2 linked regions of the Lonchura striata genome follow. The protein of the gene in region 1 binds, or shares a complex with, the protein of each later gene. Links are inferred from orthologs where the notes say so. Each region holds a gene or a part of one and is shown in the gene's direction. Other genes may lie near its edges.

Region 1 (7,177 bases):
CTCAACTCATGGAAAAAAAACCCAATGACAATCCAGCAACAAAATCAAGTAAGACAAAACAACACTTGAATTGACCTGCACTGAGTCAATTTTCAACAGTGGCCTGTGCAAATAAAGCTGCAAGTGATAAAGGCAAGAACTACACTTGGCAGTTCACAAAGACAAATCTCTTTTCTTAGTAAGATTGCAGGCTATAAACTAACAAAAAAATACTATCAAGAAGATTAGAGCCTTTATATTCCACTTAAGCTTAGACTGATAAAACAGTGTTTACAATAGTGTGCTATGTGTGTGATAATACAAGATGTCTTCAAAAACAGCATATATTTCAAGCTTCAATTACGACTATATCTAGGCTCTCATTGACATTCAATGCTGGAAAAATTTTTAATTAACTAGGATGGCAATGCTGGTTTAAGATCACAGTCACAATGGGATTTACTGAGTATTCTCCACAATTGGATTAAAAGGGAATAAGCTACACCTCTCACTTTAGTAATACTGAACGGATTCAGTTTGAAGATTCTTATTCCAGGGGGAATGAGATAAAGGTGTCCACTTCTTCTGAATTTATTTTAGTGTCATCCCTCTAAAAATAACAGACATTTCATCAATTACACTGGCTGAAGACATTATAATCCTGCCATCTACAGATGAAGTCTTAAGACATGTGCCTATCAAATGCTATCAGTTTTCTCCACTTACCCACCCTAACATGTCAGCGTGGAGAGCAGAAGACGAGAGATTAATAAAAAAAATGAAATGGGATGTCCCAAAATCTCAGTTTCTAGAAAACAGGTCCAGCTGGATTATACCTTCTTGTACCAACAGTTTAGACCAGCAGACTTCACACACTTTTCTATTTTTTTTTAATATTAATAAAACAGAAGGTGGAGAAAATTCACAGCTACAGTTTAGTCAATTTGGATCAAGATACTGCAGAGTGCTGAGTATATATTTTTGCACAGTGGTCATATGACATTCCTAACTCACTCTTCAGAAATGATGCTTTAGATGAATGCACAAGGCAGAAATTTAACCACTTTTTACTTTTTAAAAGCTTAACAAACTTTTATGCCTGTGATTAGATAGGTTTTACTGCAACACTGGTAAATCAATATGTGTTTCAAACTTGTGTAATTTCTCAAAGCCTTCAGGAATCACAGAGGAGTTAATTCTGGAGCTGTCTGGTTTGCTGGGGCTGCCAGCTTATATGAAAGAGCCATGTTCCAGCCTAAAGTCTGTCAATCTGCAATTTAGAAAAAGGAAACTACAACCTTATAGAAAAAGTTGTTATTGTGGGCAATCAGGAAGGATTCTAGCCACATTGATTGGCTGTATCAGAAGAGTAATTCCTCTCTTCTCAACAGATACATTTTGTCATAGATAAAAAGAGTCTAAGATTATTAATGCTGTAAAAAAGGTTTTCATAGCTCTGACAAATAAATTGTTTTAAACCATCAAACTTGCTCATTTCTAAATGCATTTCCATTCAGATACAGAAATGACAAACCCTTCATTAGAGCAGCAGTATTTTGTTGACATTAGCTTAATCTTACCAATATTATTGACCTATTCAGTGTTTACTTCAGCAAGCATTCCCATGGATATCTAAAAGCAATATTTTGAATTGACTTTTCAAAGGAGTTCATCCACAAATTTTAAATCACTTTCAAGCTTTCAAAGGGAAGTGAACTTTTCAAATATAATTTCACATATTTCTCCAAGCTTATCGCTCTTATCTCCAAATGTGTATTGTGTCCAAAGGCTGCAGATCTCTCTTGTCTCTCTCTTCATTCCACACTCTCCCAAATGTCAACCTACTGCAAGTTGTCTCCAGCAGATGATGAGGAGAGATGGCACTACCTGTCCTAACTCACTGCCATAGTACCACAGTGACAACTGAAGAGAGAAACACGTGAGGCTGGCTGCAAAGTCAAAGAAGAACCTTTCTGGTTTATGCTCACATATTTCAGACAAAGGTAGGAAAAAGACCTAAGAGAACCCTCCACTGCTTAAAAAACTTTCTTTTGCTTCTATAATGCAAACAGGATATAGACAACAAAACTTACAGCATTCAGTGCAATACACTGAAAAGGGCAACTGCATTTATCATTTTAATTATTTAAAATAAATGAAGGGGCAAGGTTAAAAGCAATTCACCTTTGTTTCCCACTTACTGTTGCTATTTATAGTCAGTCAAAGCACGTGGAGAATACTGTTGCCACTTTGATTTTGAGATGTAACATTGAGCTAATGTTTGTGAAAATGAGGCATATGATGCAGAGCCATGCGGAGTTCAGATTCATGTGATCAGGGATGTGCAGGACCTAAAGGCAGGCCACTAACTGAAGGAGCACTAATCAAGGAGAACAGGGAAAAACCTGCCACAATAACAACATCACATGTTCCTTGATAATGCTTTAGTGAAAACCTCTTACAGTATAGTGCCCTACCTTTGCATCTTTAAGAAATTAAGCGTTCCAAATGTTTACATTTAAAAATTCAGGCTCACTTTTTTTCTCCTACAGAAACAAAATCCAGAGACACCTGGAAAATGGGGGGGGGGGGGGGGGGTGTGAGGGAAACGACACTAATAAATTAAGTATTTCAGTAATTTTTTCCTCCCTAAGGTTAATTTGATGAGGTTAGCACATAGTAAGAAATAGGATTTTAAGATGTTATTTGATTTTGAAATTGTTGGTGTGCTAACAAAAAGTATTCTGTTTTGCAGCAGAGGAAGGATTCACCTATCAAAAGAGACTGGCTGTCAGAGATGAAAGAGAGTAAAGAAATGGAGAGAGCCGTTTTAAACATGCAAGACAAGACTTTCATCTCATGCTGGACCATGTGGGACAGTGCTATTAACCTTGGGAAAAAATCTGACAGGAGTGAAAAAGAAAGGAAGATGAAGGGAAAAAAAAGGAATATTTACCTTCAATAATTTTTCTGATCTGTACTGACACATTTCAAGAAGTCTACATTTATGCTTTTCCAGTGGTGAAAGTTTTGCCATATGTCCTCTACATCTTTCTGTACATCCAGAAGTGTTGTTATGGATTTTCTGACAGTCTGTGTCCTTTGCCCACCTGCCTGTTAAGGTGCTGCCTGTGGATACCTTGGGCAGAGCATGGCTGGTGAATGCATGCATGGCTCCTTTGCCTGGGTCACCTCTATACCTTTCTTCCACCTCAACAGTGTGTGACACTGACTGCTAAAACAGTGTTAAAGCTAAGAATTTGTGTAGTTTGTGTTATTTCTGCCTGCAGAGCAGCTCCACTCCAATTCTGCAGTTACAGAAGTGAGTGCTCCCAGATCCTCGTCAGTGGTCTCATCGGTGCTTAAAAAACTCCCTCTGTGGGATTCCACAACCCCTTTTTGCAATGCATTTGTAGTCTAAATCCTCTTGCTCTTTGCAATCGCCTTCCTTACATTTAAGCGATTTTTTTTTTCCTGAGAATTAAATGGATAACTTTTTTTCTTGCCCTTGAGAAACATTAAAAACAATCACTCACAATCCTTTTCTTAAGGACCCTTTCCACGTTTAAGCTCCCTGTCAGTTTTCTCGTTTCCATACCAAACCAGCCACTTCTTTCAAGTCTTCGCTTTGTGCCACAGCACATACTTTTAAGTCTCACTCGAGGTGCTCTGGCCCTCAATAGGTGGTGGCCCACAGCGGGCTGGGTGGATGTCAGCAGTGCGAGCCAGGGCGGAGGCGATACCTTTGGCGCCTCCAGAACCAGCCAGTCGTTAACAGCTCCAGGGGCGATCAGTGAGGATTTCAAAGCTAGGCAAACGGCTTTGTACCTGCCCTTTAAGGGATGCTCTCTCCCTTTCCAGCTCCCGTGCCCGGCCCGGCCGCTCCCCCCACCTTTCTCCGGTCCACGTTCCACTTGGGTTTACGCAGCCCCGCGGCCCCGATCCCTCGGGCGCTCGGCGTGGCAGAATGCCGCCCGTGAGGAGGGCGAGCTCTCCCTCACGACAGCACTGAGCGCCCATTCAGCCACTGGGCTCGGTCCTTTTTCCTTAAACCATTCTGTTTAGGGGCTTTAGGTGAGCCCAGAGGAGGCTCCCGGGGGCGGAGGAGCTCCTCACCTGCGCCCATCCCCGCGGCGGCGGGGCGGGGGCGCGGCGCGGCGCGGGGCGGGGCGGGGCCGGCTCTACTCCGCTCCCTCCCGCGGGGGCTCGGGCATCTCCGCGCCGGGCCGTGCGAGCGGCAGCCGCGCCGGGATGGAGGGCGCGATCCTCGCCCGGGAGCTGGCGCACACCGCGCTGCTGCTGCTGCTTCTGCTGAGCCTCTTACCCGCAGGTGGGAGCCGCGGGCGCGGGCGGGCGCGGAGCCCCGCGGGGCCGGGGTTTGCACGGGCGGCGGCAGGGAAAACTTCAGCGCTGGCGGCCCCCTCCGCGGGGCAGCGCCGCGCCGGGGGTCGGCCGGCAGCCAGCGGTGTGCCCGGCATCGCCCCGCGCTGCCCTTGTGGGACGCCCCGCCGGGGGAAATAAAGTCCTTTGTTTGCCGTGCGCGGCTATCCGGGGCTGGGGGAGAGACCTGCAGGGAACCCCTCCACCCCCCTCCGCCTCCCCGGCCCGGCTGTTTTGACAATAAACTATCCGGGGATCGGTACGAAATGTCCCCGCGGTTAAGTGCTTGTTGAACAATGGGCAGGAACGAGCGGCCGGCGTCAGGTGTCCAGCGCTGAGCAGCGGTGTGCAGCCTCCCCGGTGGGGCAGGTGGGCTCGGTGCCCTCTGCGGCCGCCGGCGGGCAGGTGCCCCGGAGCAGGGCTCGCCGCGGGACCGGGCATCAGGGCTGGTCTGTTGCGGCGCTGACGGACCTTTGCGGTGAAGAGGGCAATGGGTGCCTTTCAGGCCTTTGGGGAATCAGCTGGTGCAAAAACTTTGGTGGGTAGGTTCCTTTCCAGTCTTTTCTAAAAAGGGAGTTTATTTGCTTGACCTCATAGCCCTGGAGCACAGGTCTAACGGTTTTAAATACTGCATCTGGCTGCAGAGCTGGGCAACTTCACACATGGCTTTCAGAGCCGCCGTGCATCTCCTTTCATGGTTTGTAGGCTTAGGAGGCGTTTGGCTGTGTCCAGGGGAAGGTGCTGGAAGGAGGTCGCTGCTAGACCTGGGGAGGAATTTAGCATTGGGCACTGAAGTCTGAAAGGAGATAACGTGAAAGGTTCTTTCGCTGCTTACCTCAGAACGAGCTGAGGATCCAGAGAAGCGATGCACAGCGATAGGTGTTTAAGGTTTGCTGCCACCACCAGAGAGGAGCCTTGCAGAGCACCCTGTGTGACACAGACGGGGAGGGTTCCGCCAGCCTCTGCCCATGGGAGCAGACACCTCTAAAACACCAGAAGCCAACAGTAGTGACAATTTACACTTCATTGTAAAACCGTTTAGGATGCCTTAATGATTTTGTTTAGGTAACTTTTTCTGTTTGCTGCCGTTGGTTTATTGGTAATCCGAGTAAATGTGGTATCTGGCAACTTGGGCTTTCCTATTTAGAAGTACCCACATAAGGCTGCAAAATGCTGTGGCCACAGGAGTGTAAAAGTCTCCTAAAAGTCTCCTACCAATGAGTTATTACTAGAAAGAATTTTTTAAGATGTTGACATGATTGATACCTGCCAACTTTCTTTACTTCATGAATTTCTTGCCTTCACTTCAAGGTTACCCTTCATCATATAGTTAGACTGTCCTTAAAGAAGGCTTGGGAAACAGATCACACTGGCAGCGTGTCCTGGAAGACAGAGGTGCAATTTCTGGAGTACTGAGGAAGCAAGGAGGAACCTTTCTCATGATCCTCCATCTCGTTCTGGGTTTATACACTTACTTGTGGGAGACTTCAGGGACACATCAGACAAAAACTTGTGTGAACAAAACCACACCATGTTGTAAGAAATAACTTGCTACTGCAAAAGACAGCTGTCCTTGGGTATGTATGTGCATCATCTGTGCATCACATAGATGTAGGAGTATTCTGGGCTGGTTTTGTGGTGCTGGGAGAGGTATCGGTGTGATGGTTAGAGTCCTGGCAGCAGCATAGGAACATCAGAAGTGATAGGACAGAGCTGATGTGCTGTTCTGGATTGCTCCAGAGCTAGTTCCTGTGCTGCTTTTGGTTTTGCCTCAGTGTAGATGCTTGGCTGAGATGATCTCCCTGTTCAGACCTATCCTGTTTATCAGCATACAGGTTTATAATAAGTATCTTTTTTTGGCTGTTGGTCAAGCGCGTCTTCCTTTGGTTGCAAACTGGGAAGGAGGATGTAGAAAACAGCTTAATGTAGCTTCTCAAAGGGTAAACCATTCATCTTTTCTGTCCACAGTCCCTTCCTAATTTTTGTTTTTCTTGCAAACTGACATGCTTCCATACTTCCTTCCATTTGGGACTTGCCTTGTCCTCATTTTGATGCAATATTCCGGAACAGTCTTTTCTCTCTTCTTCTCCTGTCCTCCCTCAAGGCTTGCTTTGTCCCCTACCATCCAGTACTCTGTGAGAGTGCCTTGCATTTCCATCCTGTGGTCATGGAAGACTGGACATGGTTCCTTTCAGCATCCATCCATCAATGCAACCTTTTTTTTTCCCCCCCAATCAGCTGCAGAGTAATAGCAGACTCTCCCTGTGCCCAGAGGGAAGAATGTCTGTTTTCATGATGCTCCCTGTTACCTATCAGCCATGAGGGAGGAAGCTTGAAGGACGAAGATTGAATTTGATGAGAATTTTGATTGCTGTCATTCAGTCACTGCCTTGACCCCCCTCAAGCCATCTGAGTATCCTGCCCTCCCTACTCCCATTTCATTTCTATCTCTGCTCTCTGTACTTTTCCTCCCTCCCCTGTGGCAGTGCAGAGTCCCCTGTGCAGAAATGTAGCCTAAGGCCACTGCCAGGAGCAGAATGGAAATGTCAAAAACTGCTCAATATTCAACTCTTTTTCCTTGCACCGCCACTGGGAACCTTTTCCCTGCAAGTGCCTGAGTGATTTTTGTTCGGGCTTTATAATAAAGAATGTGACAAATTTGGCAAGAAGTGAGACTGCCATTTACATCCTGTTTAAATAGCATTCATAGAGACTGAAGGCATTTCCACGTGCTTATTTTGCCAGAGAGAGCCTCTTGTCAACAGATGACTGCAGCTGTGGTACTGTGGGGTTGTATTGGCTCTCTGTGGGTTTTCTG
Region 2 (7,176 bases), on another chromosome or scaffold:
AATGCCATCTATACCTTTTATTTCAGCAGTACTAGTAAATAATGCAAATTTAACTCCAATCTGAGACAAAAGGTTTGTCTGTGTGAAAGAAACTCCTGTATACTTCACTTCATTTTGGTGGTTTTTTTTTGGGTTTTTTTTTTTTTTTTTTTTTTTTTTTTTGTAACAATAGTATTAAAATGGGTGGAGGGGGAACTCCCTCCAAAAAAAAGAAAAAAAACCCACTTTGAAAATATTTACATAAATGAACTTTAATAATAGAAATTGAATTTATCAACAGAAAATGTGCAAGAACCTAAGAGAAACTAAAGTGGAGCAAACAACCTACAATGTCTGAAAACCATATGTGATGATGTGATATATGGGGACTTCTAATACATATTATAACATAGGAATATAAATATACTATATTATCTAAAAATACAAATAAAGGAATACATAAATTCACATAATAAAAAAGGAGAACAGGAATTTTAAAACCATAAAATTAGGCCACAGTTACAAAAAATGATCAGCAATTTAGTGATTTTGGATATATGGCTTTCCTTAAAAGCATATGTTTTTTCAAGGCCATCTGAACACTTAAGATCTAAAAATCAAAATCCTATAAAGCATTACAATAATTTAAACATTTCAGTAAAATTACAACAAATTCCCTTTCTGAAATATACTGAACAGGAAAGGAAAGCATTTGGGTGCTTAAAATAAAATCAGAGCTATATGACTGCAAGAACAGTTAGACAAAGGCACTAACCTCCCACCACAATTCAGGCCAAAGAGCCATGGCCAGGGAAGTTGTAAGAAGGTGATGATAATCTATGCCATTCAGGTAGATAGCAATAAGAAAGAAATAGATACAATGGACATAACTTTTGGCTTTGTTGTCCGTGAATACTCATAATTTAGGTTTCTGACCTGTCCCTCTGCACTACAGATTTGTATATACACAGTTTGATCTAAAAAAATAATAAAATTATTTATAATCACATTTTTAAGTAAGAGAGAAAAGGCATAAGCATATAAAAATAGAGAGTACATCAATATGCAACCCCTAAGTAATTAAAACTGGGTGTAGAGTTCCTGATTTTAGAACCTCCCAAATATAAAGAAATCAGATGGGAAAAAAATTATTTTCTATTACCAAGACCAAATTTCTAGTTCTTGTAGTTTCAAAAAAGCTAGCAACTGTGAAGCAAGTCTGATAGGTGATACATACAAAGAGCATTGAAACAAGATGCATGAATGTACGAACAGCCCAATTTAGTTCAATATGTGTTTTTAAGCCAAGAAAAACTCAACTGAGTGATCCCGCTTGCATTCTCCTTGTCTGCCATCCAGGATGCAACATCAGTCGCACACTTGTGTGAATTCAGACTTGGTGATAAACTGTTGCTCTCACTAGGATATGGCTGTTTGTTGCCACATTTCCATGGGGAAAAGTCTATCCTAAACTTGAAGCTGTATGTTAAGACTGAGTCAAACCAAGAGCACACTGGTTGCCTATGGAAAAGAAAAAGATGTGAGAAATAAGGCATCGGTTCTCCTTTATGTCACAATTTATTGTTAGGAAAATGAACCTCAATAGATTTTGCCACCTGAGCTGGCTTAGAGAGGACCAATGAGGCCTGGAGTCACTGAAAAAAAGGAAAGGGTGTGCACGGGCAGGAGGAGGGAAGGAGATGGAGAGAAAATGAGAAAGGTGAGTGCTTGGAGTAGTGATGCTAATTTAAGCCATATTTAACATCATCACTACTGAGAAGAATGTTAAGATATGGAAGATTTGGGGGAAAAAGCTACCAAATATTTTGCATTAAGTTTCTTCAACCTTCCTGTTGTCTATCAGTCCCATTTCTGCAAAAAGCTAAGTCCTTTTATTCATAAGACTGATAAGAGAGCACTTTCAGACACATGGAAACCTTTGGTCAACATATGGCCTGGAAAATCTCATCATCCAGACTCAACTGTTTTTTTAGTAGTTTGAGAGACTGTAGAATAAGATTTCTAAGATGATTTTAAAAATTCATCTCATATGCAAGGTAGATCACTGCAAAAGTTGCCTATGGTAAAAGCTCCCTGAAAGCAAAATGAAGGACAAACATTTTAAGCCCAGTTGGCTTCTTCACATACTGCTGCTATTGTCCCACAGCTGCTGCTGAAAAGTTTATACTAAACAAGCTTAAGTTAATACTACATATATGTGTCAAGCACAAATGCCAGCAGAATCCTGAAAGTAATTACTTTTTCAAATGCTTGTATCCCAAGGAAAAAGAAGCCCAAGAAGAAGGTAAGATCATACACACACACAAAGAAAAATTCCTTGTTTCACAAAATGACAGAACTGCACAAAAATTAAATTATTCCCCATTAGAGCCTTGCTTGCTCTCTCTTATTCCCCTTTTTAACTTGGTTGCTAAACTTATAAGTTTATAAGACTTATAACAGGAGAAGAAGGAATGCTCAATGCTGTAAAAAAAAAAAAGTATTTTATTATTTGTTTAATTTTCTTTCTTTGAACACCACTGCCAACCTAGGAAGTAATTTGTATTTTTCATATCTACAATATTGTTTTACAAACAAAAGTTAAAACCCATAAGGTTTCATGTGATCCACTTGAAGTGATTCTTAGCTTTGTTATACCACTGATAATATGTAATCATAATCGTAAAACAAACAGTTCTAATCTAAAACACTTAATTAAAACATAAATCATTCTATTTATAAATTAAAAAGTCAAACCTTATATTTGAGAAAAAACATTCTTTCTGCAACTCTGATTAGTCATCATCTGAAATGGTCACAGCCTGCCAGAAACTGAGGTTGATTCGACACATAAGGAAGCATACGACCCTTGAATGAGACTCAAGGAAAGTATTTAATTCTCTATAAATGCCTGGGATATAAAAATATGAATACAATAAAGGCACACTCGGATCTCAAATACCCTAGGCAGTTAAACAAGTCACTGACCTGAACTCACTAACACCTCAGATCTCCCGGAATTCAAGGAGCATGTGCATGACATCTTGAGTGTCATTGGATACTTCTTAACCTTGAAGTCAGTTGCTTCATAATAAGCCATACAAGTACTCTGTCATGCGACTACATAGGTAAGCAAATTGTGCTTATCTGTGCAAATCTGGTTGTTAATTTGTATCAGTTATATACACTACAAGGAGGAAACTAAGGTAGTATTTTACTAGCTGCTCAGTAAAATAGCAAACACAACTTGCAACAACTTTTCAGTCAGCAAACACAACTTGCAACAACTTTTAAGAGCCGTATCGTCGATAGATTTTAATCCTTCACACCCTGCTTGTTGTTTCCATCAGTCTCACACATCCTAAACTAAGAATTGTTTTCTTGCTCAGGAGTTAGCATTTTATTTTTAAGAAGAGACCGGGGAACAAGCAATCAAAGAAGTCTGCTTGGCTGAAGTTGCTGCAGCACAGCTGGTATGCCTGAAGTTTAGTGTCAATTTCTCGAGGAGATCTGTGAAGCAGAGTGGAGCACAAAAGTAACGCCTGTTCTGGCGCGTCGCTTTCACGTCAAGAGGTGTGAGGGAAGGTGAAGCGGAGGAAAAGATCACCTCCCTGCCTCCCTCTCCCGCTCCCTCTCCAGCGCAAGCGGGCCTGGAGGGGAGCGCCCGTGGCCGGCAGCGGGGGGCGGCCGCGGGACCCCTCTGGCCGGGCGCTACCAGCGAGGGGCTGCCCCCGCCAGAACGACGAGGGGAGGTGGCTCCCTGTGAACTTGGCCGATGAGCTCCTGGAGCCCAGCGCAGCGCTCACACACCGGAGCGCTGGGGGAGAGAGGAAAGGGCCGGGGCTAACAAAGCCAGACCGCCTCCCTGCTGCCACTCCAGCGCGGCTCCCGGCTGCCCCCCGCGGGTTTCCCGCGGCCGCTAAGCGGGAACGAGCCCGGGCGAGGCGCCCAGACCCGAGCAAGGGAAGGGCCGCCGAGGGCTGGTGGAGCCGGCCGGGCGGCAGGGGCGGCCGGGCAGGCGAGGACGGAGCGGGGATGCCTGCGGCCCTCCCGCCGCCGCCGGGCCGTGCGCGGGCGCCGCAGCCGTAGCCGTGCCTGCGGCAGGCGGCGGCCATCGCGGGCTCGCCGCCCCCGTGCGCCCCTCCGAGGACGGAGGGGTGGGGGCAGAGGAGGCGGAGGAAGCGGCGGCGGCGCCAGGAACAGGGAGGCGGCGGCACGGCGAGGGAGGGAGCCGGAGCCGGGCCGGGCCCCGCGAAAGCAACAGCAGAGCCAGCTCCTCCTTCTCCTCCCCCTCGGTGAGTGCCGCTCCGCCACCCCCGGAGGTTGCTCCCCGCCGAGCCCGGGAGCCGGCGCAGGCCGGGCCGCGCCGCCGAGGTGCCCGGGGCGAGGCCCGCGCCGGGAGCGGGACACCGCGGCCTCCGCCGGGTGAGCGTCCCCGGGGCAGCGGGCGCTCCGCGGCCCGGCGCCCCCTCCCCGCGCCGCGGGGCGCGGAGGGCCGGCGCGGTGGAGGGGGAGCCGTGGATTGGGCCGGCGCGGTTCGTCACTTGCCCGCCGCCCTCTTCCCGGGCCGCGGCCCCGGCCTCGGCTCCCTTTGTTTGCTGGGCTCCCCGAGCCCGCGGCGGTGCCAGGCCCTGCGGAGCCACCGGGGCCGCGGCGCGGCCTGCGAGGCGGCCGGGCGGGCGGGAGGGAAGCAGCGCCGGGCCCGGGCCGGCGAGGCGCTGCCCGGCCCCCGCCGTGACAGGAGGGGTCCCGGCCAGCCTCTCGTCCCCGCCAGTCGCCGCAGCGGGGCCCGCCGGGCTCCCGTGCTCCTGCCCTGGGCCGCTGCCCGAATGCACCCCGCGCCTCCTGGTGCCATTGTGGGGGACGGCGGAATTGGGCTGATTTTCCTTCAGCCCGCCGTGAAATCCGCCTTCACTTGAGGCTGGTGTGTCCCCGTCTCCGGCAGGGCGGGTGCCCGGAGGTGGCGATTTGGGCAGCCGGTGTCGGGATTTGTGCGGTGGAGGAGCCCCGGGTTGTTGCGAGGTGAGGGTGCGCCGAGAGCTCCCGAAGGGGCGAGCGAGAGAGGCTCCTTTTTATGACAGACAGCGCTTAAGAACTTGCCTTCAACAAAAGCATTACCAGATCCGCAAAGTTTATTCGCTTTCATTGTTCTTACTCTCTTTCTGTCATGATGCCACTTCTCTTAGAAAACAACTAGTCCATGCCAGCCCGTTTGCTTATGAAAAAAGCCTTTGCAAAACAACGGGGTTTTGAGAAATGCAGAGGATGATGCTTCTGTGATGTGAGGGTACTTTGGCTACGTCTTTCTGTCCTCTTTATTTTTGTCTCCCTATGTTTTCAAAATCATCTTGGTTTGGAACGCAATGTTTTTTTTTCGTGTGGAGTAGGGCACTGCATTACAGTAGTTGCTCATAGAATATGCTTTAGACAGGGAAACTGACTTCCCCTTAAAAAATTCTTGTACCCTTTCACTGTGAGGTCTTAACCACTCTTTCCTACAGGCCAGGAATGTTTATGCCGTGTCTATCCTCTCAATACACCTGTAGTTAAAAAATGCCTGCTGCAGGCCTCCTGTCTTGGAGTGCTGCTGTCTGCACAAGTACTCCAGGAATAATGCATCTGCATTTCTTCTATGGGTGGAATAAAGTAGAACTGGTTCTGTTTCTAGTTTCTGTTTGTGCTAATAGACACATCTTTGGATTGTAGAAAATAGGGAAGCTTTGGTGCGATTATGAAACAAATTACTTAGCTTGGCTGGAAGACCCTAAACAGCTAGAGAATGTGTAGGTATTTTTTGAGTCTTCTGCAATAAGATAGTAGTCATAATGCACAGTTTTATGTGTAACTTAAGAAAGACAATTTCAGCTTTTGCAAAATGCAGTTTTTTGATGTGTTAAACCCCCATCAAGTACTGTTTTCACTTCCTATTTGATATTTCTTGGGTTTCTGGCATTACACTGTGTTTGGAACTGAGCTTTTACTTGAAACCAGGTTCACTTCTTGTATGCTTAATTAGGGATGTATTCCCTATATCCCAAGTTTTGAGATTTAAATAAATTTTTTAAAAGATAAAATTAAATTAAATAAGTGATAACAGTGTATTGTTATACAGACATACCCATATTAGCTAACTTCTTGGATTAGCTGCAAGGGTATGGAGTATTTAGCAAGAAGCTCTGTGTTGTTTCCAGGGGCTTCATGAGCATCACTTTAATGCACTGCATGTATTGCAGCATCCAAGTGTTTGCATAGATTCAGGAGACTTGGTAGCTTCATAAAAACTTGACGTACTGAAATCTAAAAAACATTTGTGTATTAATTTATAATATGCTGTTAACTTCTTTGATCCTAGATTGTGAAGTTGGTCAGTAACCCTGGGTTACTCTTGGAGAGGGATGGTTTGAAGAAATGGTAACTGGTTCTTATTCTGTGAGTAGATTATGATTTCTGACTCTCCTTGGCATAGTGAATTGGTGGAATGGGAGAGTGTAATCTTAACTAGAAGTTGTTCATACAAAGCAAGTTAATTATTTCTGCTCTTTCTTATGATTTTTTTTATAGTCTTAGAGTAATTTGAACATGAACACTTGCAGGACTTCATTTGGTAGGGCTGCCATGAGTACACTATATACTTGCTATGCTATTGTTGGCAGAAGTGGGGCCATAGTCCAGGGTAATCCCTAGCTCGAGTGCCTTTTTTTCCTCTTTCTTTATGGCTCTCTTGGGCCTACGCAGCACTAGTTTGATAGTGTTTGGGTAGTACAATGCAATAACATAAAATAGATAGGAAGGAGACTGTTCTCAGCTGGTGTGTGCCTCAGTGTTTTGTTGATGGGGCTTTAATGTGTGTTAGCAACAAATTAAAAGAGGGTAGCTCAAGCAGTTCTGATGCTCCAAGGAAGAAAATAAGATGCCAATAGCATAAAAGGGAATATAATGCAGATGCTAAAATGTCTTGAGTATAAATTGGATAGGATGAAAAACAGAATAGAGATATCCTATGCCATGTAGCTGTATATTTTGTACTGTAAAGTATTAAACTGAGAGCAAATACAGAACTTTGAGTTTACCCTTTTTTTATGTTTTTTATTTTTCAGAAGAGAAATAATTACATCTGTAATGTTCCTTGTCCTTATGTTTATTCCAAAATTTGTTTGCATTCTGTTTTGTTGCATGTTTATTTTTCTGGAAGTAAAT

The links. The genes of interacting proteins can lie anywhere in the genome.
Region 2: the proteins of KIT (region 1) and SOCS6 are in contact, whole or in part, in a crystal structure (PDB 2VIF), measured with the Homo sapiens proteins. The link is inferred for Lonchura striata from reciprocal best matches to the Homo sapiens genes KIT and SOCS6. Residues at the interface, in NP_000213.1 of Homo sapiens: Asn566, Asn567, Tyr568, Val569, Tyr570, Ile571, Asp572, Pro573, Thr574; in NP_004223.2 of Homo sapiens: Arg391, Glu395, Arg409, Asp410, Ser411, Ser412, Asp413, Ser419, Phe422, Thr428, Leu429, His430, Thr431, Arg432, Phe442, Tyr443, Glu444, Gln445, Val448, His460, Asp464, Ala469, Phe470, Cys471, Tyr472, Ser473, Arg474, Ser475, Arg476, Thr482.

The regions. Positions count from the first base shown.
Region 1 is NC_134606.1:27,108,975-27,116,151, forward strand, and holds the start of KIT (mast/stem cell growth factor receptor Kit), read left to right. Parts: upstream 1-4,163; 5' UTR 4,164-4,230; coding exon 4,231-4,309; intron 4,310-7,177. UniProt on the Homo sapiens protein: Tyrosine-protein kinase that acts as a cell-surface receptor for the cytokine KITLG/SCF and plays an essential role in the regulation of cell survival and proliferation, hematopoiesis, stem cell maintenance, gametogenesis, mast cell development, migration and function, and in melanogenesis.
Region 2 is NC_134603.1:56,548,408-56,555,583, forward strand, and holds the start of SOCS6 (suppressor of cytokine signaling 6), read left to right. Parts: upstream 1-4,079; 5' UTR 4,080-4,274; intron 4,275-4,325; exon of another isoform or gene 4,326-4,404; intron 4,405-4,979; exon of another isoform or gene 4,980-5,001; intron 5,002-6,331; exon of another isoform or gene 6,332-6,408; intron 6,409-7,176. UniProt on the Homo sapiens protein: SOCS family proteins form part of a classical negative feedback system that regulates cytokine signal transduction.